Linked DNA regions of Drosophila melanogaster. The protein of the gene in region 1 interacts with the protein of each later gene in a pairwise test. Each region holds a gene or a part of one and is shown on either strand. Other genes may lie near its edges.

What was found.
Region 2: the proteins of CG15576 (region 1) and CG1314 interact in a two-hybrid assay, tested with the Drosophila melanogaster proteins (one large-scale study listed by BioGRID).

What each region holds. Positions count from the first base shown.
Region 1 is NC_004354.4:4,251,118-4,254,446, reverse strand, and holds CG15576 (uncharacterized protein), read left to right. Parts: upstream 1-1,656; 5' UTR 1,657-1,808; coding exon 1,809-2,180; 3' UTR 2,181-2,577; downstream 2,578-3,329.
Region 2 is NC_004354.4:20,867,186-20,871,172, reverse strand, and holds CG1314 (uncharacterized protein), read left to right. Parts: upstream 1-1,775; 5' UTR 1,776-1,833; coding exon 1,834-2,970; 3' UTR 2,971-3,184; downstream 3,185-3,987.

The DNA.
Region 1 (3,329 bases):
CAAGTTCCACTCGGCGAAATCCTGCGATGAGGAGATGAGGAGGTGCCAATATATGGAGCTGCCACAAGGGGCATAGTGGAAGGGCGCCCCGAAAACTCGCAAAAGTTTGCTCCAAAGTCCAACATATGTTGCCTGTTCATGCATGCCCTCGTACTCCCCCTCTCTCCACGTCTCCCCTTCCAAATTCCTTGCCCTGCAGTCACTAAGTTAGTCATACAAATGGAGAAAATAGATGACAGAACCATGTTAAAATAATGGTATGAAATAGAGGTTGTAAAATCGCAAAAAAATCGATTCAAACATAGTTAAATCATTGATGAAATCTTATGATATTTAAACATAGACAATTTTCATTAATAACGAAGTCGCTTTTATTTCTTTAAGTGCACGACTTTCATACACATACGGCCATCCAGCACGTGTGCCAGTGTGTGTGTGCCAGTGTGTAATTATAACAAGTTTTCTAGGCAATTTTTCTGTTTTCCTTCTCGTTTTTCGCCCCAGAATCTCGCTAGTTCCCCCGTTCTTTTATTTTATTTTATTTTTTTGGGAACGCTTCTGTTGGGTATCTGAAGAGCAAGAAGTAAGTTTCTGATAAGAAAGTTATGATGAGTTTTCTTCACTCACACAGCGAGCAGAAGATGGCAGCACATGTACACACAGCTGTTGATTTTGGCCAAATTAGTGCAAACACGTCTTGTTTTGAGTTGTGGCCCATGTGGAACATGTGCAACTAATTTGCAGTTATCAAGAGTTCTGCCTTCGACGGGGTTGAACGGATGAGCTCGTGGTCAGATGTCTGTATCTAATCCATCTGTTGGGGCATTGATTTTGGCATCCCAGATACATGCCACCAAACCCAATCCACCCACCATTGTTAACAAATTTCCATTTCCGGTGGTGGCCACAAAAAGCGAAAGGTGTGCGGATGGGCTTTTTCGGGCGGAGTTGGAGCTCGGAAAACCCCGCTGGCCTGTCTGCCGACTGTCAAAAGTTTATTTATTTGACACCGAAAAAGTTGACACAGACACCAGGCCGGGGGCGTGACTTTGTGCCTGAATCGGATTTATATGCCTGGCCAAAATTGGATTACAATTGAGTTGTAATTATGCGACAACAAAACGTTGCGTTCGAGGGGATGCGGATCCTTTTTGGGGTCCTTTGGAGCTCACCGCCTCTGTGTTCTGTTTTCCATGTTGTCGGCAATTTGAGCCAAGCGCTTGCTCAACGACGTCTTTTGAAATTTCGCATTTTGCATTAATTAAAACTGATTTAATTAAAGCTTGTCGTGTTGCTTTTAAGTACTTCAGGAACCAGGATGAGAGTAACAGGTCCTCGAGCTAGGACATCCACTAGCGCATCCAATCCACCCCATGAAAATGATTGAAGCGAGAGACCAAAGTGTTCTGGACTTGTCTCCTGTCGCCCTCGCCAAAGATTCTTTGTCGTCTTTGAGTAGGTGAAAGTTTAATTAAATATGCATCGAGCGTACACAAGTATGTGTACTTGTGGGCCACATAGATCGCATAGATATTTCACCGGAAGTCCCCCAGTCGGATTATGTCGGAATTAGTTATCCAAATTTTTTGGTTATCTCTTATCTCTTGTACAATATTTCACATAATACCATTCCACAATTCAGCTTTATTTGTCTTGTCACATATTTCAGATGCTCAGGTCTCATTGAGATTTCTATCAATCGGTATTGTGTGCTACCGTGTCAGAAAAATATTAGTTATTCGAAATCCCCAACAGCAGCAGAACGTTTCGATCGAAATTTCAGTAAGAACAGCTTTAAAATATTCAAAATGAATCCATTTAGGCCAAATCCAGGTCAGAGTTTTCGCATTCGCTTGAATATGGATCGCGTGCCGGGCGAAGAAGAGCGCAATATACAGCCATCGACTGATGAACGTCGAATCACCCAAATTCCACCGATTCAATTGCGCATCGATCATCAGCGGGATGTGAATCGTTTCATGATCAATATGCGTGTAATGCTACATCGACGGAGGACGGAATTAAATATGGGAGGCGGCGATAGTATCGGCGTGTGGAACTGGAGGGAGCCTCCGATGCCAAGCGGTTTGATTGGCGAGGGCGATTGTGATGGCGGTGGCTATGGTAATTACGCTGGTGACTATCATCCACCATTGCGGGGACTGCCACCAAACCCCTAGGATCTGTACCTTCTCTTACCACACTTGCCATCACTGTCTTTTGCCTCTCCCCTTCCTGTGCGTGTGTGATGTCCTTTTTTTCATTTCTGAGCGTCGTCCGCAAAAAAGAAGAAAAATGTCATCATCAGCTAAAAGGCCCGAAACCCCAAACACAATCCACTACCACTTCCATTCTCATTGCCACCTGAACCAGTAACCCTTGGAGAAGAACGGACCCTGTTCGGACGCATGTTGTTCTATTATTATATCCCCGTTGAGTTCTGGGTTGATGATTTTTCCATCTCCCCAAGAAAATTGATGGGCTTTGGAATTGGAGGACATGCCGAGCCCCGGACGCATATAATAATTTCCTGTTCAATGAGCAATTATCGTAATAAAGATACAATTCCGCTACTCTATATTATATTCGGATACGGGGATGACAATGGTGGTCAGTGGGCAACGATGGTGGCCAAGAGGGGAACAAGCGCACTGACGACAACGATGATGATGATGACTGGTCTCTTCCGCACTGATGTGATGGATTGAGCCCCAGCTCAAGTCTGATTCCTGTCTGTCATGTCACTTTTTCCATGGGGTTAATGGGGGCGTGACAAACATACGGGAAAAGCGCACGGAAAGTTGATTGAACTGCACTAGTTAACTATTCCCCGAAATGACTAGCATGCCATTTCAATTCTAGATGAATTTGACCCCAATATAAGCACTTCATTTTACTTACTTCATCCTAAAATGAACTTCTCAATGAAAGCTTCTATTTTAATGCATTTATTCTGAAATTCGTACATACATAGATTGTAGACAAATCAGGATGCCAATTGAAACAGATTTTGCCCTCTCAGCTGTGACATTTGCATAATCAAAGAAAATTTCGAGCGCAGCCATAGGAACTTTAGTGGGTGTTTGACTTTCATTATAGCCTTCTAGCAGCTTTAGGACTTCCCAATCACTGAGACCAACTGGCAGGGACTCGAGAGTATCAATTCGGGTAGATAGATGCCGTCCTTTATTCTATTTATTCTGGTTTTTTTTTTCCCCCTGCCATTAGCAGGCGACGTCAAGCTGTCAGACGAAGTTCGTAGCCTTTTTCTATGGGGTTTCATTTGGGATGGTCTTTGTTTTGCTTATCGAGAGAACATTTTATTGCTT
Region 2 (3,987 bases), about 17 Mb from region 1:
CAGCATACACTGAGCATTCAGCAAGCGAACAAAATTTCAGGCGATATTCGCAATTAAAATCATTAAATGCTTAATAAACTTTGGAGATAATGACAATATTAGCGCAGTTTACTTTGCTCAATATATGGTTCCTTGTCGATATTCCATCCTTTTCGATAAGAGAACCCATGTTCTGCGCGTTTTTTCTTCGAGTGCTGAGGTGATACTAGATTGTCGTACCACACAAATTAACTGCGAGCACAATTGTTTTACACATTGTTGTCTGGGTTGTTGTCAAGACAGCAGCAGGGAAATGGAAATCTTTATGTGTGGATATGTGCCTTATGAACCCTTCGCTTAACCCCACTGCATCCCGGGGGTCTGTGTGCGTGCAAATGTGCGAGCTCAAAGTTGAATTTTCTTCAATTGACCTTTTAAAATCCTTTCCTTGTTGGTTCTTAATACAAGCACTTCTTGAATGCTGATTCGCTGACAAAAATGTTTTCTTATTTGTTTCAGGTGAGGGTTGCTTATGATGAAGAAGGCTACTTTCCTTTTAGGTAGATATCAAATTGTAAAAACTCAATTAAAGCAAACGGTAAGCAATGAAAATCCGTCTTAAAGATATCATCGAATCTAGAGATACAGCGGCTTTGGCCTGTTTGCCATTTGCGGTTGGCTGCACTGTAAGCTGACAATTGCAGCTCAAAAGCTCGAAAAGGAAAAGCGATACCAAGTGGGAAGAGCGGAAAACCCAGGGAGCATGGCTAAGGAAAGAGAGGTGGAGTTTTCCCCTCGAAACTAATGAAGTAAAAGCGAAGTAAAAGGGAGAAAGCCATAAACAAACGGCGCGAGCACGTGACTCAGCTCGTTTTTATTATTGTTACCAAGTTGCGCGACATAAATGTATAAAAGGTCCCAAAAAATACTTATTAATTGAAATAACGTTCTTCATTTATGTTTTTATCTCTTCATGCATCTTGTCCTCATTAGCTTAAATAAATTACAATCGGAATCAATTTAAATATACACTTGCTATACAGAAGTTTTTAAATATCTAATACATATTACAGTGAATAAATTAACAAAAGCTATCCAAATAATCAGTGTTATTATGAAATTGGTTTATGAAATTGGTTTAAAATTTGTTTTGATTTAATCAGTCATAATCTTTTAAATTTATTGAAGGTCTTGACATATGTTGATTGAACTCCGATTTTACTGCAATAGACCGCACTTCCTCTGCGGCGGTTCATTCCATTGTCGATTTGAAACTAAAGGAGTTGCCAGTGGGAGGTGGACGAAAGTAGTGGCGTGGGAGGGGGGTGGCCACAGGGAGTTTGCAGTCCTAGTCCGACTGTTGCCCTCTCCCTTGGAAGCGATTCCCCCTCCCCCCTTTTTACCCCTAGTTGCATTTCGTTGTTCTACAGAGGCAACTTGAGTTTTGTTTGTGTTTTGCTTTGTCTTGTATGTTGACACATTTTTCTTTCGCATTTTCTTTTTCAACTATGTATGCATGTGTGTGCGAAACCGGAAATTACAAATGCAACAAAATGTTCTCCAGAGTTTTGATAGCATTGTCTCAGTTGCAGTCTAGGAATCTCTTCTAAAGACGATAATTCCACGCTCGTGACTCCGTCATGGAACTCATTAAAAGAATCACATAATATTAACTTGAAACCGTTAGAAAAAAAAAATAAACAAGTAGTTTGTGAAATAAGTAATCAAAAGTTGATTTCATTTGTTCTAACCTTCTGTCATCAGTATAATTTTACGTCGAGACGTCAACAGTTCGACTCACACAGAATTATAATCACAAAAAAAAAAAACCGACATTTTCTTAAAAATTCCTAAATGGAGAACAACAATTGCGAGGGCGAGCAACCATCGACATCCGGTGCATTCTGTAGGTGCTCCGAGTCTGGCATTGGTATATCTGCCGTCCTGGATCTCGCTCAGTCGGAGTACTCCCTGGACACCACGCCGGAAGCTGTGATGGCGAGTGCATGTCGTCTGGAGAACGAGAACGATGGTAATGATACCGATGAGGAGGTGGAGATCTGCTTCACCAGCTTGATGCCCGATCACCGTAGGCGCTTGTATATGGACTGCAAGCTGTCTCTTCCGGCGGGCGGAAGAGTGCCCATGCGCGGCGGCGCAGAAGCCATTTCCGCTTCCCCACATGGCAGAATCAGTTCTCCGGAAATTCGCTATGAGCGGCTGAGAAATACTGCAGTCGAGGTGCGCAAATACTGGAGATTGCAGAAGCTGGACATGGCTTGTCCGCTGAGCAATTGCGACTTGATGTTCAATCCTGAGCAGCTCCTAAGTCACTGCCTGATGCACCACGAGCACATTATTACAATGGAAATGAAGCCCAAGGAGCCAAAGGTTCTGAAGCTGTGTGGAAAATCCTTGCCCGAGGACAGGGGCAAAAGCAACTGTGTGGGTCTGATGATCTACGAGAGTGGCAACAACGCGACCAGGAACTTAAATCTACCCAATATCTACAAGGACTGGGAGTGCCAATTGCCCGTCCTGATAATGCTGTGGAAGACTTCCTGGGACTCGATGCCCGTCGGACCGCGAGTGACCCATATCTATATTCTGTGGCTGTGCTGTCCCCAGGCCCAGACGCCTTTGTTGGTATCCGTGAATATCGGAGAAAACACTCCGGGAGTGCCACGTCGGCAGATGATTCAGACCTGTCAAGGCTCGGAGACCCTGAAGAATTGCGATCTGCTTTCGGACAGTCCGCATTTTATGCGATTCACACATCGCGAAATGAAGGAGCACACTGAAGACTACACGCTGGACGTCGACCTACAGTTCACCATTCTAGAGGATGAGGGTAGAGTGGGGCCCATATCGCCTAATCCTAATGAGGGCACCTTTCGCGAAGACGACATCGAAATAGAACTTGCGGAAAAGGAGAATACCTCCAAGGAGGAGGTATTTATTGGGAACTCAGAAGGGCCTCAAGCGAACTAAACGCAGTCTATCACAATGATTTTTGGAATGATTTTTCAAAATTATTTGCATTACTTTGATACTGTACCTAAAAATTGTTTCAAGTTTTTTTAAATTATTTTGGATCACTTTGTACTTGGACGAAATACCATATCTCATAAGCAATTCAACATATGCAATCTTGTAAATTTTCATCAAAATTGTATCAGTAAAGATCAAATTCCTTATTAGAACTAAAATTAAATTGTTATTAATTAATGCGATGACAAATTAGTTTGAAAGTGCCATTTACATCGTTCAATAGGTTTAAATAATTAATTGTTTAGTCGATAATAAAATAAAATAAATAATAGTTTCGAACTGCCATTAAATCGGCCCTTTGAGTTCAAACTTGTATGTATGGTATGTGTACATTTGAAAGTGCATCATAATGTTGAGTGTATTTGCAATTTTCTCGGTCAGACTGACAGCTTAATTTAATTATTCTTGAACACAAATGTTGTGGCAAACTCGCCCACTTAACCCGCTGTGTGTTTGCTTGGCCAAAAAGCTGTTCGCTGGAAATTTTTCGCTTACGCCGCAGCGTATGCAACATGTTTGCCATGTGGGGCAGGGGCGTCGTAAAAGAGGGGGACAAGGGCTGTTCGGTTTTGCTGTCCAGGTCGTTGGCAGCCATTAGCACAAATGTCGTCGCAAAAGGGGGCGTGGCGGGCAGAAGGAGGAGTAACTGCATCAACAACTTTTTAACCAACTTGCCAGCCCAGACTAACAAGACCGCAGAAATTGTGAACAGGGGTGTTGTGGAGAGGGGCCAAGGGGACTTGTGGCGGCAAACTAACTAACTCGATGCTTTTGCCTGGCACTTGTAATGTACCGTTATTGTTGCAACAGCACCGCCGGGGGTGGGCGGAGGTGGTTTTGGCTGCTTTGTCCGCGAAATACTTTTCTGTCCTTTTTATTCGGTTGCAAAAAAAAAAAAAAAAGAAAATGTAAGCTCAACTTCAGCTGCAGAGATTTTTCGGTCAGCGTTAATGCAGC